Caenorhabditis elegans: one gene and its partners. The protein of the gene in region 3 interacts with the protein of the main gene of each other region in a pairwise test. Each region holds a gene or a part of one and is shown on either strand. Other genes may lie near its edges. The genes, in order: C05C10.5, col-81 and lag-1.

Evidence for each region.
Region 1: the proteins of lag-1 (region 3) and C05C10.5 interact in a two-hybrid assay, tested with the Caenorhabditis elegans proteins (3 studies listed by BioGRID).
Region 2: the proteins of lag-1 (region 3) and col-81 interact in a two-hybrid assay, tested with the Caenorhabditis elegans proteins (3 studies listed by BioGRID).

What each region holds. Positions count from the first base shown.
Region 1 is NC_003280.10:9,934,061-9,944,183, forward strand, and holds C05C10.5 (uncharacterized protein), read left to right. Parts: upstream 1-4,979; 5' UTR 4,980-5,166; coding exon 5,167-5,208; coding exon of another isoform or gene 5,209-5,212; intron 5,213-5,253; coding exon 5,254-5,357; intron 5,358-5,405; coding exon 5,406-5,747; intron 5,748-5,803; coding exon 5,804-5,954; 3' UTR 5,955-6,372; downstream 6,373-10,123. Other genes in the region: pho-11 (Putative acid phosphatase 11), read left to right, coding at 1-51, 97-237, 284-304; C05C10.3 (putative succinyl-CoA:3-ketoacid coenzyme A transferase, mitochondrial), read right to left, coding at 487-810, 1,253-1,450, 1,499-1,874, 1,943-2,432, 2,651-2,828; C05C10.7 (uncharacterized protein), read right to left, coding at 4,083-4,350, 4,395-4,487, 4,542-4,775, 4,826-4,875; ufd-3 (Ubiquitin fusion degradation protein 3 homolog), read left to right, coding at 6,701-6,745, 6,791-7,103, 7,153-7,259, 7,307-8,068, 8,119-8,434, 8,489-8,730, 8,787-9,139, 9,194-9,419 and 2 more; flad-1 (Molybdenum cofactor biosynthesis protein-like region), read left to right, coding at 10,077-10,123.
Region 2 is NC_003280.10:11,007,954-11,017,983, reverse strand, and holds col-81 (Nematode cuticle collagen N-terminal domain-containing protein), read left to right. Parts: upstream 1-4,163; 5' UTR 4,164-4,223; coding exon 4,224-4,300; intron 4,301-4,592; coding exon 4,593-4,677; intron 4,678-4,731; coding exon 4,732-5,490; 3' UTR 5,491-5,587; downstream 5,588-10,030. Other genes in the region: ram-2 (Nematode cuticle collagen N-terminal domain-containing protein), read left to right, coding at 1,160-1,242, 1,455-2,292; ptp-3 (protein-tyrosine-phosphatase), read right to left, coding at 6,202-6,312, 6,366-6,611, 6,692-6,944, 6,998-8,616, 8,705-8,803, 9,820-10,030.
Region 3 is NC_003282.8:6,096,304-6,106,426, forward strand, and holds the start of lag-1 (Suppressor of hairless protein homolog), read left to right. Parts: upstream 1-5,284; intron 5,285-6,413; coding exon of another isoform or gene 6,414-6,479; intron 6,480-6,534; coding exon of another isoform or gene 6,535-6,673; 5' UTR 6,674-8,033; coding exon 8,034-8,796; intron 8,797-9,864; coding exon 9,865-10,051; intron 10,052-10,102; coding exon 10,103-10,123. UniProt on the Caenorhabditis elegans protein: Transcriptional regulator that plays a central role in lin-12/Notch and glp-1/Notch signaling pathways, involved in cell-cell communication that regulate a broad spectrum of cell-fate determinations.

The DNA of each region.
Region 1 (10,123 bases), on a different chromosome or scaffold from region 3:
ATATTTATGGAATTCCACAGAAACACGTCAACAAACGAGAGATTCTTCAAGGTATTCCAGAGAGAAACCAGAAAATTCGAACAATTAAATTTTCAGGTTCTGTACCGTGAAGGAGATGACACTCCGATTTCTGATGTGACAAGTCAACTTCCAATTTGTAATGGAGCCACCTTGTGTCCACTTGGAGCTCTTCAGACTTTGGCCGAGACACTGAAGCCACTTCCAGATATTACTACTGTAAGCTCTTGTTTCCAAAAATTTCGACTTTATAAAAAATTTTCAGCTCTGCAAAACTCCTCTATGAATTACTGGAACTGTAATTTTTGTTGTAACTCAATTTTTATATTTTTTTATGAACTATTTCATTAAAACTCTTTTTGTTCACACAATCCTAAACCGGTATTATAGGCAAAAGACAAAAAAGTAACAAACAACGGACTAAAGAAGTATTTACACATTTCACGGAAATTTGTCAAAATTGACAAATTATCCTTGATTAAGAGGAGCCTGTCCCATTGGCTTCAGATTTTCGGAAATTTCGAATTTGCAAGCGGTGAGTTTCTTGATATCATCTACAGTAAGATCCTTCCTGACTTCGATCAATGTCAATCCGTTCTTTGTGTCCACGTCGAAAACTGCCATATCAGTAATGATTCGGGAAATTACTCCTTTGCCGGTCAGAGGAAGTTCGCAGTGCTCTAGAATTTTTGGCTCTCCGTTCTTCGATACATGCTCCATTACAACGATCACACGGGCTCCGGGAGCAGAGACAAGATCCATTGCACCGCCCATTCCTTTCACCAATTTTCCCTGGAAAATTTTAGAAATTTATTAAGATGGAAGATTAAGCGGAAAAGTATATTTTTATGAAGTTGTCTAAATTTTTTGTTTTTGGGGGTTTTTCGTTTTTTTTTTAAAGTTTTTTCGGACCAACAAAATAAATTCAGATATATATTTAAGAAATAAAATCAAGATTTTTTGGAGTTTTGTAGAATTAATATTTTTAATCAAAAAATTATTTTTATTGAGACTAGATCTGGCCAAAATTGTTCGGTTAATAATTTTCGATCAGTCTATGTGCTGCGTGCATTTTATTTAATTTGAGTTGCTTATCTTTTTTAGTTGAAACTTCGAGCGTTTTTAGACATCACTGATAAATAATTTCAGATCACTGATCATATTTATCTTATCACTCGGTCGATTAAAACACAAAGAACGAATTATCAGTGATCTATTTTTTCTCAAAGCTCACCGGAATCATCCAATTCGCTAAATCTCCAAACTGTGAGCACTGAAGTGCACCGAGCACAGTAATATCCATATGAGAACCACGAATCATTGCGAATGATTCATCAGAACCAACAATTGAAGCTCCTTTGAGAAGAGTAATTGGCTCTTTTCCAGCATTAATGAGATCGGCGTCTTCTGTTCCTTTTCTTGGATATGGTCCCTGAAAAACAAAAATGAAAATAAAAATAATTAATTTAAATTTCCTTACCACTCCAATAATACCATTCTCACTTTGCAAATGAACAGTAAATCCATTTGGTATATAATTTGGCGCCAAAGTCGGAATCCCGATACCCAAATTGGCGTACATTCCATCTGTGAACTCCAAAGCTGCACGTGCTGCAATGATTTCTCTCGATTTTCCAGCAGCCGATGTAGATGGTTTTATTGGTCCTTCGTGTGCGAACATTGGCCGTTCGATTGGTTTTTTGTAGTTCTTTCCCAAAACTAGACGATGACAATAGATTGATGGAATGTGCACATCGTTTGGAGCAATTACTCCCGGTTCGACGATTTCCTCTACTTCGACGATGGTGCATTTAGAGGCTTTGCACATTGGATTATTGAAATTTCCAGCAGCATGTCTGAAATTTTGATTTTTGTTGTTGTTGTAATTTTTCAAAAATGATTTTTTAATTTTTTTAATTCTTACCTGAATTGAATATTTCCAAGAGTATCTGCTCTCCACGCCTTGATCAATGCAAAATCTCCCCAAATAGCCTCTTCCATTACATAATTAATTCCATTGAATTGTCGTGTTTCTTTCGCTTTACTTGCAACTTCAATCTTTCCTTTTTCAGTTTTACTGTACTTAATCGGAGCACCTCCTTCTTGAATCTGGGTACCGTATCCTGTTGGTGTGTAGAATGCGGGAACACCGGCACCAGCTGCACGAATTCGTTCGGCGAGTGTTCCTTGTGGTGTGAATTCCAACTCGAGCTCTCCGCTAAGATATTGTCGAGCAAATTCTCCGTTTTCACCGACGTACGATGAGATCATTTTCTTGATTTGTCGAGTTTGAAGGAGCAAGCCAAGTCCCCAATTATCAACTCCCGCATTGTTTGATACACATGTAAGACCTTTTTGACCAGTTTTTGTGATAGCTTGGATGAGATTTTCTGGGATTCCGCATAGTCCGAAGCCTGAAATTGGTTACTTTATTTCTATTGATATTAAAGTATTTTCAAAATTGCCGAGACACATTTTTTTGTGATTTTCGCGCCAAAAATACGGTAACTGTTCTCAACACAAACATTTTCGTTGAATGCAAAAAGGTAAAGAGTACTGTAATTTCGACTTACCGTATTTTTGGCGCAAAAATCGCAAAATTTTGGTAACATAAAAAAATTCCAAATCTTACCGCCAACTAAAAGCTTTGCATTATCTGGAATATCCTTCACGGCTTCTTCGGCAGAGTTAAAGACTTTTGCTTTCATCGAGGATGTCATTGAGATTAGCCTCATTTGATGAGCATTTCTCGGAGTTTTTCTCAAGATTCCAGCTGCTGGAGCCGCCCATATTTTTGAGAGAATCGGCATTTTATCTGAATGAAAATTTTTTTAATTTTGGAAAAAGAAACAATATATTTAGGATTATAAGATGGAAAAACCAGAAAGTCAAATTTGTGGAACAAGGAATCGGTATTAAGTAGAAAAGATTATAATTGTGTGTTGATACTCGATAACAATTTCCGTGTTGCGTATTTGATTTCTTATCAATATTATTTACAATAAAGTAGCGGAAACGTACAAATAAAACGTTTTAGTGATGGGAACGTCTCATTTACTGAAAATAATAAAACCCGGTATCGACACGACAATTTTTTATTTATTACGGTACCAAGTACGCATTCTCATGATTTATTGTTCCCGTAATAACGCGAAGAGGAGTGCGCTTTTAAAATGTACGGTAATTTCAAACTATCGTTTCTGTATGATTTTCATAGATTTTTTCACAGTTTTTCAATTATCTCAAGTATTTCAAAATATTATCAAGAAAACTAAAACAAAACAATAAAAACAGTTAAAGTTTAATGCGAGAAAAAATATAAAAATTTTGCTGCAACGAAATTTTAAAACTACAGTACTCTTTAAAGGTACACATATTTTTTCAATTAACAAACTTTGCAGTGTCGAGACCGGGTTCTGTATTTTTAGTACAAAAGTTGCAAAAATAACGCGTCTGGGTAAAATTTTCAATGTTAATTCCGATGGGGCTCTAGAAAAATCATGATAAATTCACTGAACTAATAAAAATTTAGAAAACTGTTATAAAATCTTAATTTTTAGAGGTAGAATTGTCTAAAGCAAAAAAAAAACTAAAAACCATCAGTAGCCAATAGTCTGAGCGAGTGTGTCACAACTTGAGTACACAAAAACGTTTCTTTTTCGCATTTTTTGTCTACTTTTTATAGAGACGCAGACAGAAAATCAGGGAAAATGAGAAGTGAAGTTAACTGAAGGTCTGGGAAACACGTGGTTGTGAGACTGGCGAAAAGTTTTGAGAAGAAAAATTCGGGTGATATTTGGGAGGAGTTCTGCCTTGAGAAGTTTGATGTTTGAAGTGTGATCTGTGATAAGGATGGGAGGGCAACAGAGACAGGTGGCCAGGACACAAGTGTGCTACTGACGTTAGCTTCTTTTTAAATAAAATTTTCAAATGTAGTTTACTGTCATTTTAGCGAATTGTACAATTAAAAAAATATATATAAATCCGTACATAGTTACGAATAAGAGCAATTTTAATAAAACATATGTTTTTTTTAAATTTTTATTCAAGATTTAAAAGATAACTTAACAAAATCTGCGGTACATAAACCAACAAATAGGAATGACGGCTAATGCACCGGAAACGTATAAAAGTTTCGAAAATTTGGATATAATTGGGGTCTCATCTTGCGCTTCTTGTGTAATCTGGTCCTGAAGATCCTCCACGTCGATCAGCATGATTTTAACAGTTGACCGGAACGCTCGGATCATTTGAAGAAGATTCTTCACATTTTGAGAATCATCAAAGCCCAAATCACGACGTTGTTGAGGAGAATATTCATCAAGGAGCTGTCTTAAAATTGACAATTGATGAAAAGTTTGATTTCCAAGACCGACCCGCAATGAATAAGTTGTCGCTTCATTTTGTGTACTCCCATTTCGGATTTTGTGAGGACGTCGTGGAGACGAATGACGCATACTGACTTTTCTCTGGAAAAAGGCAAATTTAATTCTTTATAAAATGTATACTTTTAAAAAACGCACAGGTTGTTTTCAGGGCAAGCTAGGCTGTTGAAAACTGTACTGGCATCCCAATCCAGAACTTCCGACTCTCCAGCTTCTCCAAACGCTGTTTCTTTTGAAAGTACAACTGGACTTTCTCCCAGAAATGAGCCAACAAACTCGGATTCGAACTTCCTTGGAACCTCTTCCTTTTTGATGATTTTTGGAGTTTCTTCTTCGACTATCAAGAATTCTTTTACATGGATCTGAGGTGATCTGTAAAAGTTAATATTAGAATTATTATTAGTTATTAAAATAAAACAAACCTTAGCTCAAATCCTTGAAATTCTGAATCAGAATCGTCAAAATCTGACATTTTTCAGAAAAGAGTGTTGTAAAACAAAAGAAATTTAAAAAAACTGCGAAACTGTGTATTTTTGCGTCATCGTGTTTGAACTATTTGTGCGCGCGCGTTTAAAAAAAAACAAAAACAATTATTTTCGACCTACTTATTTTATTGATCTGCCTCTATTTTACCGATGAAAGTGTATCAGTCGAAAATTAAAATTATGCGCGGGAAAATTCTGATTTTTTCATTTAAATTTTCGCTTGTCATTCATTCCACAGACCCATTTTTTCTCCCTCTCACCTATTTCACACACTAATTATGGAGCATTTTCATGGAAATCGCTGGGACCAGTTGCGTGCTGTGAGTTCTTGAATTAAAATTCGTTTACAATATTTATATTTTCAGGTAGAAGCTGATATTCTGTGTCCCCCGCCTGCAGATCCATTCCAAATCTTCCCCAGTGGATGGACCAGAGCCTCGGAGCTCAGCGAAAAGGGATGGAGAGAATTGTTTGTCCCAAAATGTTATATAATTGTTTCTATAATAAGATTATTCAGGCTTGACCGCAGAAGATCGCAAAGCCCGCCACCACGTGAACCATCACCAGACGTCAGAAGAGCGATCAGACGGACACCGCCGCCACGTGTCAACCGTGTGGCTCCGATTCGACTTCCAGAGCGGCGTCCATTGCGGCAATTGAACGCCAATGACGCCAGAAGACCAGCACAAGACGCTGCAAATCGCATAAATCAAGAGAATATGCGTGCAGGAAATATCGACAATGGGCAGCCACGTCGTCGAGCACTCTCCCCGACACAATTGCCAGGAGTTCGTGCGATTCCAAAGGACTTCAATCGCTTCTTCCGTGGTCTTCTGACACCTGGAGAGTTCTTTGCCAAGTGAGTTTGGATTTTCTAGCTGTTTTTAGGCTCAATTTAAATATTAAAATTTTCAGATCGCAAACCCGGTATCTTGGGCCATTCGACGAAATGCCAACGGAGGATACACTTCCAGCAGCCGACGAGTACATCATTCTGCAGCGAATGGGACGACTTCCGGATAGCGGTAAATCAATCTTCAGACAGGTCGGCAATCTGTCTACATGATTCCCAGGACTGAAATTGCTGCCCCTCAACGTTTTATCCACATTTTTCCAGTTGAGATCGCATTTTTATCTTTAAAAAATTTACTAAACCTTATTGTTGCCATGAGTCATAATTGTGATATACCTATAATTCCTTAATATAATCAATCTTCTTGAATCCACCCCACTCATTGATTAGTTGTGTGCAATAATAACTTTCGTTTAATGTTTGTAGTCTATTGGTATCGCTGTTTTAGCGTTTTTATGTTGTTTTATAATGAACCAACACCGTTTCCCCATTTATACTTGCGTAGGACAAAAATAAATCAATTGTCTATCAAACTCGGTTCCTTTCTTGTTTTTTTTTTGAAGAATTAAAAAGGTATCACTCCTGTTTCGAGACTATCTAGTGCGATGTAAATTTCGCTCTCAAAAAACCTACTAAATTAAAAAAAGTTTGCCGATAAAAGTATTATTTATTTTTAATTATTGAATTTTTAACACTCTTTGCAAAGTCTTGATGTTCTGTGAAACTTCAAATATTTATTTAAGCGAATCTGAATGCCCTTCTCCAAAAAATTGCATCCTATCAGTGTTAAATTTTGAATTCCCGCAAATTTGCCTACTGCGGGGTCGTAGAAATCCTCTTCCATGTGGCGTTAGTTCGGAGCATCGTTTGCAGTTTGTCATCAAAACTTTTTCGGATTTTTCTCAATTTCGTTATATTTTTTTGTTGATTAACTTTAATTAAAAGCTATTCTTCAGATAATGGCAGATGACGGTCTCGGTGACGTGCCAATGGAAACGGAAAGTGTGAGTTTTAGAATTTGCCGAATTGAAGTGGAATTTATTTTGCAGATGCCACAGTACACAATTTCCCATGTTATTGAAGCCCACAAATCCGACACAAAGGCTTTGGCAGTTACTCAAGGCGGATGCTTGATATCGGGTGGTCGTGATGAGACGGTTAAATTTTGGGCAAAAAAAGGAAAACAGTATACGAAAACGCACGCCTTTGAACAACCGAAAGGAATAACTGTGAACTCCATTGCATACGCTGAACTAGCGGACGGATGGAGACTTTTTGTTGGCCGAAGAGATGGAACAATTGCAGTTTTTGGCCCGAGTCAGGCGGAACCATATGCAATTTTCAATGAGCATAAACAGAATGGTATTTTTGCTTTAAAAAATATTCAAAAGTGCAAAATGAATAATTTCAGTTTGCTGTCTTCACATTAACGAAAAAGCGACTCACATGCTGAGTGGTTCGTGGGATTCCAACGTCATCATCTGGCCGATTACCGAGTTGAACTCGTCGTCATTCACTGTAATATATTTTTAATCGTTTTTTACTGGATTTTAAAGTTAAATTAGTTCCAGACTATTGTTTGTCCAGGCCATACCTTGTCTGTGTGGGCTCTCGCTTCTTTCCCGGATCTTCCCAACACTTATCTATCTGCCAGTGCTGATAAAACAATTCGTATGTGGTTTGGAGATACCACTCTCTCAGTTTTCAAAGGCCATACTGATGTCGTGCGAGCTCTCGTCGTATTATCAAGCTCTCACTTTTTATCTGCTGGAAACGATGGACATATCATTCATTGGGATGTTGCATCAGCGTCGATTCTCAGAAAATTTGCAACTCAGGCACATGAATTCATTTATAGTATGACATTGAGCGATTCCCACATATTAACAACTGGTGAAGACGGAACACTTGAATTTTGGGCAATAGATGGAGGCAAAGATGGAAATTTGGCAATTGTTTCTGAAGCAGTTATTCAATTACCAACTACGAACACTTGGGATGCTAAAGTTTTATTAAATTCCGATATCGCTGTGGCTGGAAGTGATGGACGGATCTATATCATGACCACTGATAAGAATAGAAAAGCTGACGATGATATCTTAGATGCATTTGATGCAGAAGTTGTCGCAAAGCTTACTGCGAAGACGGAAAGGATGAAGCAAGAAGAGCATGAAACTGTCACTATCAAAGTTGACATAGACGATCGACCGACTCAACTAAATCTCAAATACAAAAAGGGAACAGATCCGGGTCTTTGTGCTCAAGAGTTTTTGAGTGAGAATAATTTGCCAATTCACTATCTGGAGGAGATTACTAGATTCATCAAGGTTTGCTTTTTCCATTAATATGTTTCAATGTTGATTTTCATTTATTTCAGGACCGTATTCCAGAAGCTCGGGCATTTGACTTGAAATCTGGCAAAAAAGTTATAGTCGACGGAAAAGAGTACGATTACGCATTAGGTGTTAATTTTGGAAAAGGCGAGCCGGACAAGCAAATGCCATTCAACGTGAATGAGAGCCCTCAGTTTGCTGCTCAACGCTTTGTGGAGAGACATCAACTTCCTGTGAGCGTTATCCCTTCTCTTGCTGGAATGATCAGTCAGGAGATGGACAAGTTGTCGAAAGGAGCTGCTTCTGCTCAGTCTGGATATGAGGATCCGTTTACTGGACCAGGAAGATATGTACCTCAAGGTTCATTGAAATAAAGAAATCAATAACTCCACAATTTCAATATTTGAATTCCAGGTTCGTCGAATTCTGGCGGTCACGGTGCAGATCCTTTCACCGGATCCGGAAGATACGTACCTCAAGCATCAAACTCGAGTGGCTTTGACACTGGTTTTTCTGGTGATCCTCTTACCGGAGACGGTGGATATCGTGCGTCCGCACCTGAAAATACTGGAAGTCATGCCGTTCCTCTATCATCTCTTCCACAAAACAAGAAGAAACCACGTGGACCATTGGTTCCAGTTCCTGATTTTTACATTGTACGTTTTCTAATTCTTCTCCTCAAAATTCAACATACTTAATTCAATGTATTCAGATTGGGCTTGCTGGAAAAGGCGAGAAAGCAATTGCAAAACTGAAAGAGCTAAATGAAAAGCAGGATGCATTCCAATTGAATCCTGATCAGATTAATGGCCTTGAGGAACTTTTTGTTCTCCCAACCTCTTCGAATTATTCATCAGAAGTCACGCAGTCTGCATTCGAAATGTCTCTACAATGGCCAGTGGAGCACTTGACGCCAGTTCTTGATTTTCTGAGAATCGCACTAACTCATCATTCACTGAATTCGTATTTCTGTGATCGTGAACGTGGTCAGGAACTTGTCGGAAGATTAATTGCTATTCTTGTGTCAGATCCGGCTGATGTGGCTTTGAAGGTTCTGGTTTGTAGGTAAGAACAAATATATATTTTCGTCAAGATATAATCGTTGTAATTTATTTACAGATGCATCGCAAATGCATTTTCGCATCCAGTCGGTCGCAACCTGTTTGCTTCCACCGAGCTCTCTACTCTAGCCCCACTGGTTGTTCGTCAAGTTCTTAATGAAAAGACGGTTCTCCAAATGTCTGCTGCTACAGCTCTTGCCAACTGGTCTCTTGCTTTATTGCAACAATCCGAGCAATGCGAACAGCTGGGACCCAAGGAAGACTTATTGAGAGCCATTTTGAACGTAATTCTTCAGATTCGAGAATTTAACAATATCTTCTATTTTTAAGGGAATCGAAAGCGTCGACTCATTCGGATATTTGGGTGAAGACGCCATCATTCGTCTGCTTCAAGCATTAGTTACAGTCATGTGGGGAGATGCCTCAGTTATTCGAGTGAGTTTTCTAGAAATAACAAACATTGTAAACGCAATATTTTCCAGCTTGCCAAAAATCGTAACATTGCCCAAATTGCCGCTCGTCTCAAGGATGCAGTTTCGAACGACTCGGGAAAAAATATTGCTCGTGATATTGTGGAAATGACTTATGCTGTATGAAAAGTGTTCTAAAAGACCGGTTCAATTTTATTTGTATATAAATTGTCCAGTGCTTGTATTTTTTTTCCGGTAAAACCATTTATTTTTCACAGCCCGATTGTACTAGAATTTCAGCCCGATCTAATTTATTTGTTCTTTCTCTATTCATGTTATGTAAAAGACTACATGCTAGCCTGAAAGTTTCCTTATCAATCAATATGAACATGTTCTTGATGTCTTTCTTTTTACCGGTTCAATGGATATTTTACCACAACAATTATCGCAGCTCAGTTGAATTGTGTAGAATTTTTCAAGCTTATACTTCTAAAAGATATTCTCCGTTTTTCACATTATACTTTTCAAAAGATGCGCGCAATGTTCAGAACTCCACGGATGCCACAACGGAAAACCGC
Region 2 (10,030 bases), on a different chromosome or scaffold from region 3:
CGTTCAAAGTGTGTATATGTATGTGTGTGTGTGTGCTTCGACGTTCGATTCCGAATTCATTTGCTGATGAGATTGCTTATCCTTTTATCCTGCAAATGAATTAGAAAATGGCTGGCTGCAAGGAGGAGAAACGGTGGGATGGATTTGAGGAAGTAATCGGGAACATTGAAATTAACCTGAGAATTAAAATTAGAGTTATCAGATACCTAATTGTAGTTGTTACATGTTTTCAACAAAACAAAACCCAACATAACCTAGTTGTGATCCGTAGTTTATCGATGCACCATGTCTGATAATTCTGAACTTCAATCGAAAATTGTTGCGGATATTCCTGTTGCGAACAGGTGGATGCGGAAGTGTGATTGTCTGATAAGATTAATTAGGATATCGGATTCTCTCCTTTTTTGGAGTGATAATGTGAAGTGTTTTAACGTTTTTTCAGGTGCCAAAATATTAAGCGATGTGTGGAAGATTCTGAGCGAATGTAGATTTCAGCAGGACACAAATCAAACATTTGGAAAATTTTTTATCATGTAGATTAAGCCTAGATGAGCAATAAAGTTCTGAAAAATTTAAAGTGTCTCGGATGACGGTCGGCATAGAGGCAATAACTAAATACTGCTACAGCAGAGCTCAATGGGCGTTTTCTGATAATTCTGGAGAACTCAAAAAATTTATGATATGTCATAGTTTACAGGAAAAATGCCGCAATTTTTGGAAATCACAACATACTTGGCTCATTGAAAAACCTAGAGCCAACCTAACTTTATATGTATACATATGTCAACCAATTTAAATCATCAAAGTTCGAATGGAACTCGTGAATTTTGTTTCTTTCTCCAACTTCCTCCTACAATTCCCATTATTCACTTTCCCTCTCAATAGCTCGTCTCATCAGTTTTCGAACAGATTTCACGTAAACGACCTTGATTACTCGGAATGCTTAGTAGATCTATATCTATCTAACTCATTTTCAGCCCCAATACATCTCTACCCATTCAACCTGTCCCTCCTCTACCCCTCCAACAAAATGTGGGCGTGGTTTCCCTCCGCGCCTGTCGCGTTTTTTTTGCGTATCTGCGTTTGTTTTGGCAGCCTTTCGAAGGCAAGTGTATAAAAGTGCGTCGCCGGTGGCAGGTAAATCAGCAGCATTCGCATCATGTCTTCTGCCGATAACGAGAAGAAGCTTTGGGTTGAGGCCGAGTCCCTCCGCAAGGTCGCCTTCTTTGGCATTTGCATCAGGTAATAACACTACTATTTTTATTTTCCTATTATTTTAATTTTAGAATTCTGATTACTAGTTTTTAACTTTCTGTTCTTTTCACTTTTTCGAATGTTTCCTACTTCTTCCAGTTTGAAAGTTTAAGATTAGTTTTTTTTATTAACCTAGATATCTGTCTAGACTAAAAGTTGATCACAATTAAGTACCTATTCTTTACTATTTCAATTTTCAGTACCGTTGCCACTTTGACCGCAATTGTCGCCATTCCATTGTTGTACAACTACATGCAACATGTTCAATCCACCCTTCAAACCGAAGTCGACTTCTGCAAGCACCGCACCAATGGTCTTTTCGACCAATACGAGCGTATGCAACAGTTGAAGGGAGTTCGTGGAAAGCTTATCGTCAAGCGTCAAGCTGGATACGACGCACCTGCCGATGCCGCTGTTCAAGCCACCACTCAATCATCTGGAGGAAGCTGCTGCTCTTGCAAGGCCGGAGCATCTGGACCACCAGGACCACCAGGAACTGACGGATCCGACGGAAAGGATGGACTTTCTGGACCAGACGGACAACCAGGAGCTGATGCTGATCCAGAAGCCACCCCATCCGAGGCCGATTTCTGCTTCGACTGCCCAGCCGGACCACCAGGACCAGCCGGAAACCCAGGACCAAAGGGACCATCAGGAAACGCTGGAGCCGACGGACAACCAGGAGCCCCAGGAAACGCCGGAGCCGCTGGAGCCCCAGGAGCCCCAGGACCAGCTGGACCAGACGGACAGCCAGGATCTACCGGACAAGACGGAGCCCCAGGAGTCGTCGAGGAGGTCGCTGTTCCAGCCGGACCAGCCGGAGCCCCAGGACCAGCCGGAGCCCCAGGAGCCGATGGAGCCGCCGGAGCCCCAGGACAGCCAGGACAAGACGGACCACAAGGACCAGCTGGAGATGCTGGAAGCGATGGAGCCGCCGGACAACCAGGAGCCGCTGGAGAGCAAGGACCAGCTGGAGAGCCAGGAGCAGGAGGAGGCTGCGATCACTGCCCACCACCAAGAACCGCTCCAGGATATTAGAATGTTGTTATCTTCTGACTTCATTTATGTATATTTTCTGTGTTCTTTCTTGTTTTCGTTTTCTCAATCACCATGATTCTCAGAATAAATTACTATATCATTCAAAAATATGCTCTTTTTCATTCTTTTTCTCATTGGATTTCCAAAAAAAAAGGCAAAAAAAGAAGAAAAATACAAGAAATTCATCAAATAGGATAACAAAACCGCCTAATTTGTTTCACATGACGATTCGTCTCGTCATAAAAAACACGTATCCCCTCAACACTTGATAACACAATCAAAGATATCAAATATGCCTATTTAGGTACACTTTTCGGTGGGAGAATGTTTGAAAGTAAACGAGACATCATTCTCTCGCAAAAGTCATCATGAGACCGGTTTTATGGAAGAGGTGATTTCGGATGAATCCGAAAAGTGAACGGTGTTCTGTTCCGAGAGGTGTTGTTTTTGCAGGATTTCTACTAGGGAGGGGCATATTTGGATTCAAAATTGAATAAAACAGTTTTCAACATAAAGTAGTTTTCCCATTAGTCTTGAACTTCCATTGATCTATTTTGACAGATCATATTTCGGTTGGATTTGGCTTTATTAAAAATTGAGCAACTATGAAAATGTAGAGGAATAGTTGACACATATTTTTAATGGTAAAAAATGGTTAGATAAAATTAAAGTCAACTGAGAACTGTTGAAGCAAAAAAATAGCAAAAAAAGGCACGATGTTAATCAAGGGTGTCGTTTTTCGATTTTTTCGATTTTCCGATTTTTTTTTCAACGAACATCTGAAATCGAACAATCGAACAAATTAAGATCGAAAAAAAATTTTCAGAAAAGTGACCATAAAATTCGATTTTTCATCGAATTTTGTTTAAATTGTTGAGAAAAATATAAGGAAAAATAAAAATATATTTAAAAAAAGCAATGACCAAACTTTAAGCTAATTTTTAAAAAATCGAAAATTTTTGTAAAATCGAAAAATCAAAAAAAAAACGAAACTTACAATAAAATTTTTTTTTAAAGAGCATCAGTTTTGGGTTATTTCTTTGTACTTACTTGAAATTTTGAAAAAAGAACACATATTCTCCTATTTTTCAATGGTTGCCAAAATTGTTCAATTTTAACCTAGCAATTGCCAAAATTTTGTTAGCATTTGTTAGGCATATGACAAACATTAAAAATAAACGAATAACTAACTTAATAATTTATTATTAATTTTGAAAAAAAATGAGCATTAAGTTGGCGGCAATTGGCGAGCAATTAGGACTAATTTAGAGAATAAGAAAAAAGTATTGCTCAAGTTTTTCAAAAGTTTTTTGACAATTCAATTTTGACATTTCGACATTTTGACATTTTGACATTTTGAAATTTTGAAAATTTCTTGTTTCAAGAATTTTACATGATGGACAACGTCATTACCCGAGCAACCAGGAAAACCATCAGGGGTTGGGTACTGTAGTTTTTCAAAGAAGTTATGAATTAAAATTTAGACGTCCAGTTGAACTGGGAACTTTGATTCTCTAGTAAGAATGATATCAAAGTGTCAAATGGTTCCCGAAAAGTGAAAACTACTGACCTTACAGTCTACTCTTCTCCATCCTAAAAAAACTGCTAGCTATTTTCTGTCTTATCACTGATTCGATCAACAAACTTTAGGCTTCTTCCGCTTTCTTCTCCCCACTTCTCCACCTTTGTTTTGCTTTTTTCCTGCAATATTTTCATTTTCCACTCCTCAAGTTCAACACTCCATCATCGCGCACCTTCTGCCATCAATTCTCCACGAACAAAACTGTAACTTACACAAAATTCGGGTAGAAAGAGAGACACTGATAACCCCACGAGACGCAGGTCATCGCAATTTTGTAAACTTTCTCTGGAAATGTGGTATATAAGGACAGTTGTGTGTTGATGAGAAAGCATACAGCGGCATTCGAAACATGGAAGACAAAAGAATACTCGTTGAGAAGGAGGTCGAGAGCTTCCGATCCATCGCTTTCGTTGGTATCTCCGTTACGTAAGTTTTCTTTTTTTAATTTTTAATTTCCTATTTCTTTTCAATTTTGAATATTTCTAGATCTCATTTGATATGTATGAACTTCACCTTAAGCTTAGCCAAAGCAAAAAAATCCCATTTAAAATTTTTCCGACCACCGTTGAAACTCTCTAGTTAATTTCTGATTGTGAGTAACTAGCTTCACATAGCAACTCAGTGGGCTATTGATGCACCATGTCTTGTTTCTCTCGTTCATGGTACATCGACCAAAATCGCCCTACAATTAATATACAAATATCCCTCTCAATTCCAGCATCGCCGCCGCTCTCATCGCTGTCATCGCCATCCCAGCCTTCTACAGCTACGTCCAACATGTTCAGTCCAAGCTTGACTCCGAGGTAAAGCTGAAAAATCGATACTTCTGAAATAAAGAAACATGTTTTTGTTTTAAGGTTGACTTCTGCAAGCACCGATCTCTGAGCCTTCACAATCAATATGAAGTCGTCGAAGAGTTCACCGGAGTTCCATCGAAATTCGTTGTCAAGCGTGAGGCTCACCGTGGAATGAGCAAGAGACGTGTCGCCCGTAGAAAGGCTATCAGAAGACGTCAAGCCGAGTGCTGCTCATGCGGAGTTGGAGCCGCTGGACCACAAGGACCACCAGGACGTCCAGGAAATGACGGAAACGATGGACAATCTGGAAACCCAGGATCCCCAGGACAAGATGGATCCGACAGCTACGAGCACCAACAAAACAGAGAATTCTGCTTCGAATGCGCCGACGCTCCAGCTGGACCACCAGGAGCTCCAGGACAGGCCGGAGCCCCAGGAAACGATGGACGACCAGGACAAAGCGGAGGAGCTGCTATTCCAGGACCACCAGGACCACCAGGACCATCAGGACAACCAGGACAAGATGGACATCCAGGACAAGACGGACAGCCAGGACAGCCAGGAGAGAGCCGCGAAGTTCCAGGAGCCCCAGGACCAGCTGGACAACCAGGATCCCAAGGAGAGCCAGGACCATCCGGACCAGACGGAAGACCAGGACAACCAGGACAAGCCGGACAGCCAGGAGGTCCAGGAGACGCCGGAAATGACGGACAACCAGGACAACCAGGAGGTCCAGGAGAGGACGGAGAAGATGGAGATTCTGGATCATCCGGATCTTGCGATCACTGCCCACCACCAAGAACTGCTCCAGGATATTAAAATATCCGTTTTCTGTCTTTCATTTTTTTTTCGATATGGAGTATCTCATGACTGATGATGTAGTAGCCAAACACGAATGAATAAACCGTTCAACTAGAATTTTTTACAATTTTTTTTCACTGGACCTTTCCATTTTCAATTTCCGAGAGCCGCGAAGAGACATACTTCTTTGTAATGAAAATTGACCGGGTTCTGATTTCTTTCTTTTGTCGTCTTGTGAGCATTAAAAACCGTCAAAGTTAAATTATAGAAATTAGTTCATTAAAGCAATCTGCCAAAGTCGGTGTAAGAGAACAAAGATCACATACCAACGAATACAATATTATTAGAAAAAGATGGCTGAACAGCAATGATGATGATGTAGAAAAAAGAGACTTCGAATATTTACAAACAATCCGGGGGGGTGTTTGAGAGACATGAGCAATGGATTGGGTGGAGAACTATGGATAAGAGAAGAGTGTTAATGGATGGGGTACAGTAACCCGTAACATTTTGGAAAGAAAGAGAATGAAAATTTCCGAGGCAAAAGGACACAGAACAATTACAAAATTGAACCCGTTCGTGTAGTGGGAGAAGTGCGTTTTTGTCAGTAAATTATATGTAATTTTTGGAATACAAAAAAATAGAAAATTGTGTTAAAAAATGTGTGAAAGATCGAACAATTCTACCGGGAGTTTTCAACTAGAAGCAAACTGGGGGTGAAAGGGATATCTACGAGAAATTGTCATAGGCGGCTAGGTACTCATATGCAGCTAGATACAGGAAGTGATACTGCTCTGGCTCTTGAATCATGTTTTGACGTTCTGTTCGGAGCAGTTTAACCTGAAATATTAATATTCATATACATTTAAAAAAAATTAGAAATCGATTCTTACCGTTGTGAAAACATCAACAACATGCTCAGCACGCATCCTATCCAAAATGATCGAAAGTGCGATGAAGACTGCAGTGCGTCCGGCTCCAGAGCAACAGTGTACTGTAATCGGGCCAGTACATCCGAATTGAGCATACGTATTGTGAACTTGGGTGACAAAGTCGAGGAAGTGATCTGCTGTGTGCGGCTTTCCGACATCAGGCCACTCCATGAAATGGAATTGACGAACGGTTCGGACTTCGCGAGTCTGAAAATATTAAACTTAGACGTCATTTAAACAAGTACAATAATGGGCACATTTCGAATCGTCCATAGGTGAAAACTCACATTAATATCCGAAATCCTAAACTCTCGAAGATGATAATGTTTCATATCATATTCAGCCATCGGCTCAACGACGAGCATTCCAACTTGAACTCCAGTTTCCAATGGCCAATAGTCACTACATTGCTCTTGTCCTCGTTCGTTTGTCCGTACCAGCATGGCGATTATCGGGCTGTTATGCTCCCAAATTGCTCGCCAAAAATCTGCGGCTGTCTCGTTAGTTGGTGCTTGAGTGGCAATGTAGGCTCCGCGCTCTCTGAAAAAAACCGAATACATAATCATTATGGGGAGATGGGAAGATGTGCTTACTTGTAACCGTCAATCCATGATGCGTTGATGTAATCGGATCCGTCAGCTCCAGGAAGCAATCTCATTATTACTCGATTCGAATCATACGGTACTGCGCTGAGCATCCGGTTCTTTGGTCGATTTACCGGAAGATTCGCAACAGTACACCGATTGCTGGTCCATTTCAGTGTCGTCAAATGCCTGAATTCCATATCAATTCCAGACAATTGATCAGCTGATGGTTGTGAAAGAATGTGCAAATGTTGATGCAACCGACTGGCAGGAACCTCTGTGGATCCACTGTTCACCGCATCAAGGACAGCGTCATGAATAAAGATGTATTGCTCTTCAGTTTGTACCATATAACTCCTCTGTGCTCTCAACGCAGTAACACATCCATAGATATCAACTGTATTGTCGTAGCGGAGACGTTCCAGCATACAATCAATCACAATGAAGGCTCCAGTTCTTCCAATTCCAGCACTACAATGCGATATGATTGGTCCTGCATCGTTTGGATTCAGCGTTTTCACCCTCTTCAGGAAGATCAAAAACGGTGTCGGATGATCGGGAACTCCATGATCCGGCCATGCAGTATACTGTAGATGCTTGATCTCTCGAACTTCAGGTTCTCCAACCATTTTCAATCGCATCGTTCTCATCGTATAATGAGCCAAATGAACGCTTTCCAACAGTGTCACCTCGATATCTCCATATGTGGCAGTTCCCCGACTCGGCCAGTATTGATCACATTTCACTCGACTTCGTTCCTCCAGATTTGTTAACATCACAATTGTAACCGATTGCTCCTCCCAAACCATTCTCCAGAAATCCGAAAATGTTTCCGGGAGTGGTCCCTGGGTGGCAATGTAGCTTCTTGGTTTGTCATATCCATCCACATAATTTGCGTTGATGTAATCCATTCCTGGATATCCTTCAACATTGGAAAGTACAACTCTGGAATGATCATAGGCAGCCACATTCGCGTATCGATTCTTATGCTTATTCATATCAGCAGACGAGTGTTCCCAAGTGAAGTGTTGTCCAGTTTCAATAGATTCAAATTCTGACTGGAATCCTGCATTATTGTTCATTCGAAGCCTCTCGATATGATTCGCAAGTTCAGCTATCGGAACAGCTGGATGGGATACTGTAGTCATATTGTTTCCATTATTTGGAAGAGATGGTATTGCGACAGGAACAGGTGCATATCCATTAGATCTAGAGTGACTTGTTGGCAAAGGATAAAGATCCATCGATGATTCCATATGATGATTTCCATTCATCTGCTCATAGGGGTTCATAATCTGTCGTCCGTATTCATTGGAAGTCGATAATAACTTGCTTGTTTCTCCAGGTATTCCACCACCTCCATTCATAATATTTCCAGTCAACGCAACCTTTGTGATAGAACCATGTCGTGGATGCCGTCCAGCAGACTTCTTATTGCAACGCAACCACCAACATATCAGCATTCCAACAATCGAGAACAAGACCAAGAAGGCGATGCACGCTCCAACCCAAGGAGACGACTTCTGCGAAGCTCCGCGAAGAGCCGATTTGATTGTGAATGGCTCAGTTAGAACAGAATCAGAGTACATACGGGACAGCTTCTCGCTCATTGGTGCACGTTGTTCGAACTGAAAATTTCGAATTAAAAAAGTTGGATTCAAATTTAAAAATGATGTCGATCTATCTTGAAAAAAAAAACGGGAAAAGTAAACTTACACTGTCCTTGGTTCGCACATCATTTTTCGCAAACGCCCGCATCATCAGTCGGTAGTGAAGGTTGTGCTCGAGTGGGTAGTTGGTGAACCCGTCATACAACTGCAATGTAGAGATATTGATGTATGTATTTCAATGTTTGCACAAAAACAATAGCCCTACTTTATCGTGGGAAATGTTTATACGTTTTATATCTAGATTCTATGTAGTTTTTTTAAAGTTAGATCGTATTGCTACACAATGTGGGTGAATTTTGAATTTCGAAAATTGGTCTGTATGCGAAAAAAAGCTCAACTAGCTTCAGAAAATTTCAATTTTCTACTTAACCGACCAAGGAATGAATGGAAAATCTAAAGAACTGCTTATATATAGAAATGAAAAAGTTGTTGAAGTGGCGGTTGGGTATGAGGAGAGGGGGAAAGGTCCGTAAGTGCCTCGATATTATGGCAAAAATCTCAAGAAATCTCAAAGGACCACACGAAACAGGGTATATACTGCCTGCTGGCTGGGGCTATAAAAGACAACGACAAGAGCTTCTCGCCGCGCGACAAGAGCCCGGCGCTAAGCAAGCGTTTTCGATTATTTATTCATGGAGACATAGAAAACTTGGGGAGGGGGAGAAGAGTGAACACAAAAAACAATGAATTTATTTTTTTTGGTTCAAAAAGCTTGCAGATGTTATATGCTATAACAACTGTGTACATTGGAAATTCAAATGTAAAACGTTGACTAGAACTACCGTATATCCTCTAATAGTATTGCACCCAACTACATTACTTTGAAACGTTATATCTCGGTTCATTTGGAAGACATAAAAATATTATCAACTGCAAATATATAGGAAAAGAACCAAGAAATATTTTGTCTGTTGGCATGTTTCGTATAAAACTAACGACAACTGAGTAAATGGGCTGCCAAAGTTGAACAATGGGGTGCAATACTAATAGAGAATACTTTTTTTTCAAAGTCTACTTTAATCAAAAATCTGGAAACAGCAAAAATGTCTCTCAACTATTTCTTTATATTTTCATTGTTGGAAACGTTTCTGATAAACCCAATATCAGCCAACATATAAGCTGTTAAAGTCGAGCAGTGGAGGTGAGTTGAAAAAAACATACCTGTGAATCTCCCACAATAAATGGTTGATTATTCCTGTATTGTTGCTTGACTCGATCAGCACTCAACCTTGCAGTCACATATGCTCCTGGCACGGTTGCTCGACGAGCTCGCTTCTCCTTCGGATGGTAAGATGCGCTTTGCGAATCATCTCCAACTTCCGAAGCTTTTCGTTTCAACTTTTTCGATGGAGACACGCTCAAGGATCTGGCA
Region 3 (10,123 bases):
TGGTTGAATACCGACCAAGAATGGTATATTCATTTCCTTTCTTTTTCCACCCAGTCTAAAATCTCTTGACAAGTTATCTTCACTGTTCCGTGTGATATTTTTTTCCGTTTCAATCCATTTTTCTACTCGGAGGCTGCCTATATCTGAATTCAGCGGAAGTACAGCTAAAATGTGTGAGATCTAGGTTAAGTATAATCCGTTGAAGATTGTGGAAAAGCTCATCCTAGATAAAGTGTAAACCCACGGATGCACACTTTTATGAAACGGTGTTTCTTTTTCTATGTTTGATGCCAAAATTAAATTAGATTTGAAAATAATAAATCATGTTTCTTCAAAAGAATGGGGATTTTTTTTTCAATATTTATCCGAAATCTGAAGAGCAATGAAAATGAAACTATCACCAACTGCAGCTGTTTAGGTCAGCACATTTGATGCTATTGAACAAGATTTCCCTCTTTCTAGATTCAAATTTTTTGCGAAGTCTCAGGTTTTCTTTTTGTATATTGTATTCCAAGCTGAGTCTCGAAAAAAAAACACGAAACGTACTGATTTCAGGAAACAAAAAGCGGACCGAAATATTTGGAAAATTACATTCCGCACTGCCAGGAATTTGCTTTTCCGGATCAGATCTGATTTTTTTTTTAATTTCTACAAGTTCTACAATATTCAAATCGCCAATAAAAATCTCCAAAAGCATGATAATTCCAAAGTTCGGAGTATCATATTGGAACCGTCAGTTTCCCATACGACAAAGGTCGTGCCCGTTCTATGTTTCCATCATTCTCTCCAGTTTCATTACTATTTCCTACGTCCATCCTGTCCGGCGTCCTCTCCGTCATCGTCCTCTGTCGCAGCCGCCACCGCCGACACTTTCCCACGCTCGTTTTTCCCACCACACACACACACACACACACACACCAGTTCCCTCCCCTTTTTCTCTCTTTTCAACGGCCAGTTCGCCATCCCTTTCTCACACATTGTCTGTGTATATGTGAGTGAAAGAGAGTGTGAGAGAATGCCCGGAGGCCGTCCCTCTTTACTTGTCAAGAATAGTATATGAGATGAAGATGCGCAGACATTTTGAGAAGTGTGTCCTCTCTCTCCTCTCTCTTTTTTCCTTCTTTTCATCGTCTGCAAACGGCCCCGCAACCGACCGACCACCGACACAGCCCACAAGGCCAACCTTTTTTTCCCACTCGTCGCTTTTTCCCACGATATTCCATCTTTCACACGTTCCTCTCTCAAGCATTTTGTTTTTCCATCCAGGCTTTCTCCGAACTTTCTAGCTCGTCTAGGAGCTAGACTAGAACTACAGTACCTCTTGATCAGTGATAAGAGACTGGGGGCACTCCTACGGACTGTCTCTCTAAAAGTTTCCCAATGACTTTGGTTCTTTATTTCACTGCGTCTCTGTGGGAATACAACAATCTTCGGTGTGGTTGGGGGGTTGTCTTTGTGGCAATGAAGAGACAACACATACGCACACAAGATGATGCGTCCCTGGGAAACCCCCCCAACTGGTGGGAAGATTGAAAAGTACTAAGAAATTGCAGTAACTTTTAAAGTTGACTAGATTCTCGTATCTCGGTGTTACAGCCTAACTTACAGGCATGCTTCTTCTAGATTCCAGATGATTATACGACATTCAAAAATTATTTTGGTACTTTTCCTTTTCTACCCCGCATTTTCAGAAGAATATTCCAATCATTGAATTATTCGAATTTAATTCTCACGTGAATGTTCATTTTAATACTATTTTCATTTTTAGGCTTAGAAAACAACATTACTAAGCCTAAAATAAAAATTAAAAGCTTTCCATTAATTCGTAAAGAATCATACCTTGATTGACAAAATATCAACAATCAACGGAGAACTTTCCTGCTCTTGCTCTCTTCCTGTTATCAACTTTGAATTGTTATCATAGTTTTCCCGTGTATATTTCTCACACAGTTCTTATTTTACCGAACCCGCCGTCCTGCCCGCCCATATTCTCGTTCGTTCTACGCCGCGCCGTCTTGTGTGGACATTTTCCCACCGACGCCACCCTCGGCGGTTCTTTTTTTCCAGTCACACACTGATTTCCATATTTGTTTAGCTGGTATACATTTTCAAAAAATGTCATGACTGAGGTGTCGCTGGCGACGGCGGCGGTCAGTACCAGTCAGTTTCTCAATGTTTTGATGTTGAGGTTCCCATGATGCTCTGGGCAATTTCGCACATGACGCGGTGACGGTCGAATTTTTTGATTAAAAAAAATATCTGAAAGATGCTTTTTCCTGATTTTTGAAGAGCTATTTATTTGGATACAAATTGGAATTTCAGTTTTTGATTTCGATATTTTCTCTGTAGAATTTGAAAACTAGTTATATATTCTATGCCAGTATTTGAATTTTCTACATCGTAATCATATTAAAGCTGGAATCGTGAAGGCAGGTCTCGTCACGATCTGGGTAATAATAATTCCTCATTAGATTGTACAAAAAATTTGAATTATTCCAATCCTTCACACCTCTAAGATCATCCTCTCGTATTTCAAACTTCGCCTATTTATCAACCATTCCAAGGAACATTACCTTTTCGTGGATACATGTTGCATTTCTCTTCTTTGATTCTCTTTTCTTTTATGTTTACTTTTTCTGCGTTTCTTCTCACACCTTCTCCAGCAGCTCCTCTTTTACCGATTACCCAACATGACCCCGTCGTCTTCTTTTTCTATTCAATATAACAATTTTATGTGTCCGTGTTTGTGTGCAGCAGCAGCAACACTTTCCTATCTCATCACCTATTCCTTGACGACCGTTGATGATTCTTCACTGGCTTCTAGTACTGTAATAATTAGAGACTCGAATCGTCGTTATTTCACTGTAAATTTTATAAATTGTTCCATACTTTGCACCTGCACCGACACACAATCCGAATCTCTCGGTGCATTAGAGGTGGTAAAAGTGTCCGATTAGATTGGAGATTAAAATAGTTATTAGGCGTGAGAGAGAGAGAGTGTCGGTTGGTTCAAAAAAGGAGTTGTGTGATTGACTTTTTGAATAAGGAGGTTTTTTCAAGCCGAGCAGTTGTTGAGCTGAATAAGAAAATTCTTTTTTTTTTATTGGAAAGACACAAAATTGTTAAAAGTTGCGCAGAAATCCAAAACTCTCTTTTTTAATGAACAATTAAAGTTAAAAAACACGAGACTTCACTCAAAGTAAGAAAGTTCGTTCCCCCTTTATCGTATTTCAATTTTCTTGTCTTCTTTCATAAATTCCCTTTTTAGATCTTTAAAAATTATACATATAAAGGTAAAGGAAGTATCCGATCAGAAAAATTCGATAATAGACCCCATTTCAATCTGGGGTGTGATTTTCCGTGTTCCAATCGGCTTTTTAGTACTTTTTGGAAATTTTCCTCCTTTCTCTAAAATAACGGTAGTACAGAATAAGGAAATTTTTTTTTAATCCAGAAGCGGCCAGCCAACTGTATAGGAATTTCAATTTTTTTTAATGTGCTGAACAATTTCGAAATCAAAAAGACCCTACTCTCCAGCTGATTACAATCATCTGATCGATGTCATATTTCTTTTCCCAAAAATAATTTGTCTTGTTTCTCTAATTACTCTTCTCTTATCATCACAATCTCTCACGTTTCTTCTGTCTCACCAATAAAAACGGGGGAATCCCCCTGCAGGTTCAAGTTGATATCATTAGAAACCTGTTTTTCACGCAGTCAATACTCTTTTTTTTCCCTCGATAAATTGATCATTTTCTCGGCTTTGGGCGTGGAAATATTTTCTGCAATAAGATGTGTTGAAAAGTCAGAAAAAAGAAAGTGTTCATCCCGCCCGTTGTCGTAGATCATTTGTTTTATGGCAATTTTCATCATCATTTTGTAACCGTCTTCTTCCTCCTCTTGCGCATCCAATCCACATATCACACAAAAATGTACAATACGAAAAATAGGTCGGTCTCTTCACATTTTCATCACCAAAAAAGTGTTTTTGCAGAGAAAAAAGTGGTGATAAATGTGGAACTTATAACTGTAAACACATTTAAACGAGGGCGGCGAAATTAGATATCAGACATATACGATACAAAAAAAATTAAAAAATCTGTGTGTATTTTGTTTGTAAAAAAATAAAATAATTGCGAGTGCATTTTTTTCAGATTTGAGGATAAATTTTAGAATTCATGGAATTGGAGCATTCGATAGGTCGAAAGGAAAGTATTTTGAGCATTCAATTCGTTATATCAGTTATCCGACTCAAAGCAATTTGTTCTACTTTAGAATTAACGCACTTTTTCGATTCTGAGAAATTTATTCAATTCGAGCTTCTTTCTGTAATCAGATTTTACCGCAATTTTTCAAATCTTTTTTGCTCTTCTTTTCCATATTAGCATTGTTCGTCTCAAAATTTTATTTTTGATTTCGAAGGCTAATTTCTTCTTTCCCAAAAATTCGTACTCATCTATGACCTTTTACAGTATCAAAGAAACATATATGCATTTAAAAATTATTGAAAAAAACTGTTTGAAAATCTCAAAATTTTGTCATTTTCAAACTTAAAACTCGAAGAACATTTGAAAAAAATACAGTATTCGCTTCAAATATAATCGTTTTCATGATCGGATTCTCTCAGAATTTCATCTTCAATCTGAAAATACTAGATTTAAGTGATTCCGTGGATCTTCTATTCTCGTTTCAAAGCTTCACACTCCTGCTTTTTTAGTTGTCCGATCTCTTGTTTCTTACCATATTCCGACATAAAAATCCCGCCGAAACCCATCAAACTTCTTCTTCTCGTATACGAATATAATATGTGTGGGTGCTCCGTTTTGTCGCACAAGTACCGTACCTCTGCTTCCTTACCGATATTCTTTTCTCCGAATCGACGACAAAATTTAATGATCGATTCGGAGGCGGAGGTCGAAGTGGTGGGAATAGAAGTGATAAAACATACGCACACCTCCCGATTTTGTCGATTCTTCGTGTATGTGTCTCCCCGGCAGTTTCATTCTTCTTCCGAGAGCATTATATTCGGAGGTGCTCCCTTTTTGACACGTCCCTCTAATTGTTTAAAAACCTCTTTGGATAATTTCCATGAAGTTTTATTAAAGTTTTAATTTTCAGACTGGGTGAACCCGCACGAAATCTGGATAAGTTTATAGGTAAGTTCGTAATCAATCCATCGAAATTTCAAACAACGTATCATTGAGTTCCAGAAGCAATGTTCCAGTCGGTATCGCCGCTGGCCGGTGTCGCTGCAGCGCCGAGCCAAATTGCCGCACTTCAACAGGTGAGATTTGATTTATTTTGGTAGTAGAAATCATCAGAAAATTCTAAAAATTCGGAAAATATCAAAATTACAGCAATAAATAAAAAATTGAAAGTAAAAATGTCATGTTGCCCAGTTAAAGGGGTATTAAAGTTTACAGTTTTGGTCAAATTAACTAAAACTCGCCCGAAACAACTGAATTTTTTCAATTTTTTCAATTTCATAACGAGACTTTTCAAAAAATTGCCGGTTTTTTTTTTGAGAATTTTCGTTATGAAATTGGTTCGTTTCAGGCCAGCTTTTGTATAGTTCGGCAAAAACTCAAAAAATCTACTCCCCCTTCGAAAAAACTTGACAATAAGTTTCCGATTTTCAAGAAAAAAACGGCGCATGGAGTAGTATTTTTAAAATTAAAACACCTAAAAATGAGAACTGAACTATTCGCTAAAAAGTCGCTGAAACCAGCGGCAAAATATTAAAAATCCCAAATCCCTACGGAAAAATTCAACAATGGGCTCTATTTTGGTCACTTCCAAAAAGTCGAATTTTTTTTTATCATTAGGCCCTTTTTTCCTTCCTTTCATATTATAAGAATATTCATTTTTAGATATGTATTTTGAGTTTTTTGCTTAAATATTCTCAGAAAAAACCGTTTCTCACAAAATTTCTCAAAATCATTTCTAATCGAATCAATCAATTTTCCCAGTCCCCCGAAGCACGAAAAATATTCACAAAAGCCTTTAGTTTTCTCCCATAACATTTCTCGTATTGTCGCTGGGACTCACTTTTCAGATATATAATGTTGAAAATAAACTTGCATCAATATTTCAAGAGAACATTTTCTAAATTTGTATTTCCCAAATAGTTCCTATTTTTGAATTCCTAGTTTTTTATTCATTAAAAAGTTACAAACTGGAAATTTTTCTAAGAATTTTTCAAATTTCAATATTTTGGGCAATTTTAAATTTTATAAACTATAATTATTAGTTATTTGAACTATATTAGAATCTAAAATAATTTAAAATAGACAAAAAAGGCGTACGGAGATGACCTGTAATTTCCCAACGTCTGCATTTATTGATTGTCACCCCATTGTGTTCGAGTTCAAAAATTCGATATTTTTATCAACTTTTGATTTATTTTATTTCAGATACAAGCGTTGATGACATTTCAAATGCAGCAGAATAATTTATTTCCCAAAATTGACACTATATCGGTTAGTTTTCACTAATAAATTCTTATATTTTAAAATGTTATAATATCAATTTCAGAAATCGCCAACTCCAGAACTCGCATCTCCATCGGCAAAACGAATGAGACTTTCTCCCAGTACGAGTAGCCACAGTGATGTCGCATCAACTTCGAAAGGAACAAATGGGCAAGATCAGTCGAAAAATTCGCCGACAAATTGTGAGTTTTGGAAATTTTCAAAATTAAAAAATATGTAAACTTTCAAAATTCATGTTCTAGACCATTTTTTCCCCCCAAAAAAAAGTCGTATCAGATACATTTTTCTGATTTTCCCTTGCAAATGTGTTCTTCCAACTGAAATTTCCCTCAAAATTTTTCCCTTTCCCTTGTTATTTGGGAAACTGAAAACCGCCGAATGGTGAGAGTGTGAGCGCGCGTGTGCTTCTGTTAGCTGCATCGACTGGTGGCTAATTCATAAGCCCACTCTCTTTTCCCGTCGAATTTTCCCACGTCGATCGATAATTTGAGCAGTGCCGACGGCTCAGCTCAGCTCTCCCTAGACTTCTTGTGTGGAGCTCTACGATTTCTTGATTTTCTAATGATTTCTCTCTCGAAGCACGAAAAATTCGAGAATCGCTTGATGGGGAACTTGTTTTCATTATGATTTGGAAATCAACGGAAAACAAAAAGGAAGAGACCGACACAGTTCTGTGAAATAAATATAGAAGTGAATAAAAATATGCATAGTTGTCCATATTCATGTGGGAACTTTTGGTGCTCATCTCTATTTGACAAGAGACCACAAGGAATCGAGTTACGCAGATGGTTCACTTCACACGAATAATGATAGAATGAAATAGATCAAAGACAGAGAGCTATCAAGGAAAAGTACTGTACCTGGTCGACAGGTGCCTGGAGGTACCATCATGCTCTTTGAATTGAGCACACAGTGGACAATGGCCGTAGTGCAATTTAAATGAGGTGTATTAGTCAATAGAGAAGATAGTAAGAAGTTCCCTTTGTAGGTTGACTCGACAGATATGATTTAATTCGGATGTCTCCAAGAATCCAGAAATTCCGATTTTCCATATATCTGAATGTGCACTCTTCCCTATCAGTCATCCCCCGAGAATTTTCCCCAACCAACCAACCCATCGATTTTCACACGAAGATTCACACTCATGAATCACTTGAGATCCTCTTGTCTTATCGTTATCCCATAACTTTCTTGACTCTTCTCGTGTGATGAGAGGCACCACCACCACGACGGAACGCAACAAAGAGATCACCTGTGTATACACATGGTACATCGGGAAGGCAACAAGTGAGGATTAAGATTTAATGTAAATGAGTGAAAGTGAATGAAAGCGACCGTTACTATATTAGGATGGTTCAATTTTGAACGTCTTTGTTTCCAGATGCCACTCAATTAGCGTTCACCTATTCAGTCATGAAATATCCGAAGAGCTCAACGCTCTCTCTCTCTGATTGGATACTCTGACTCCGCCCATCTACCAGTTTGTCTTTCTGTGTGCTTTTCCATCAGAAAAAGCTATAGACTATATGAAGAAGAGAAAGAATGTTTTCGTGGAGGCGTGGCGATTGTGAGTCGCAGAAGGAAGAAAACCGAAGTGAGGAAAGGAAAGGAGAGGAGACTATTCGTTTTCCCACCCGCTCTCCTTTTCATTGTGTGCTCTTCTTGCTGACAGACGGCTTCGTTCTTCACAAACCCACAGCCAGCCCCACCGTCGGTTTTTCCCCCACAATATTCAGCTTCTACTATTCTCGGTGGGAATCTTCGCATCGGATATCCCACGACGAGAGCGGCTTCTGCACCGCGAAGACCCCCCTTCAAGACTCGACTTTCACGCGCCACCCATCCACATCGGTCCCATCGTCGCCCTCAACGCCAAGACACTCCGGGATGGATTATCATCAGTCGTCTTCGGTAGCTTCTTCCGAGTCGACAGCGTCTACAGTAGCCGCGGCGGCGGCTGCTGCAGCTGCTGCATCACTCAATCAGCATCATCATCCACATCTATATTGTGATGATGGACTTCTATCGAGAAGTTTAACTGATATGGTATCATCTGGTGGATATGATAGCTCATCATCTTCTCTAAGTGCAGCTGCATCAATGTGTTATCCGACTCCTGATGCATATTACTATCATGCTCCACCACCACCACCTCCTCCACAAGCACAACAGGGATTCAGTTCAACAGACGCGTGGCTTCAAATGCAAATGCAACCCACGTATCATAACTTTGGCAGTACTGTCGTCTCTACCAATTCCCCACTTCCAAGCCACCTTCTCAGTTATGGAGGACAACCAGCATTTGGTGAGTGAAATTAGTAATAAACGAGGTATTAATTGGATTACGTAAATTCTGAGAATTCGTATTTTGCAACTTGTTAGCCGAAATATCTCGTATAGACAAAGCGCTACAGTAGTCACTTGAAGAATTATTGTAGTTTTCGCAACAGAGATGTAAGCTATTTAAAAATGAAGTGAAATACTGATAGAACTAGTATAACAAGTACAATAACCTAAAAACTTGTTCTGAGATAGCTCAACTCAATCTATAAAGTCAAAACATTCCTAACACCATTATCATGTGATAATTTTTCGAATTTCTCACCCTTATCAGTCTGTAATAAACTATTCACATAAATAATTTTACTAGTAGTTCGCATCTCGTTTGAGGTCTCACTGAAAGGGTTCCGCACTGTGTGCCAATACTATTTTATTATAATGGGCGCACGTCGCGGCAACACCAAAAAAGAATCAAAATTATGCACAACGGCTCTCCTGTGGCGGCTAAAAGACCGGGCGCCACCCACATCGTTATCATTCTCCTGTGTCTCACACACACATTCATATTTAAAACGACAAGGCCACAGACATTGGTTTTTATTCAATCCCTATTGTATTACCTCTATCCCATCCCACATTGAACATTCCTCTCGATGCTCAACCCGTACTATTCGTATTATCCCTATTACTATGGGGTTGGTGGGGCTCCGTCGTCTTCCAATGATGTGCCAACTAGTGTGATATCTAGTACCACTAGCAATACAGTAACTGCATCTGATGGTGTTACACTCACGAATCTCGAAGCACCGAGCTCCGTGGCACCACCGCTTGCTCCGACTTTTCCGCCTCCGAATTTCTCAATTCCATTCAATTTTGATTTCAATTCGTTTACAACGGCTTCTACTACGGCCTCGCTTGTAAATGCTTTCAAGAATAATAGATTTCAAGCGTACGACCGTAAGAATTCTAGAAATTCCAGCGGTCAAGTAGAAAATATCTCAAAAAACTTGGGCGGAATATTCAAATTTGGTGGGTTTTTGATAAAACTTGGTTTAAATCTGCTTTAAACTGAAAGTTTCTATTTAATTTCCAGCTGATCCATTCTACACAATCGGGCAGTCAACTCCAAACACATCATCATTCCTGGACACTTCAAATTCAAGTTTTGGAGCTCCGTCAACAGTGGTTGCCAATCCGATGACCAACTATCAATTGGCATTTCAAGCGAAACTCGGAAGTCTTCACAGTTTGATTGGAGATTCTGTTCAATCGTTAACAAGGTTTTTTTAAAAAAAAATTGATTTAATGTTAGCAATAATATTTTTTTTCAGCGATCGAATGATTGATTTCTT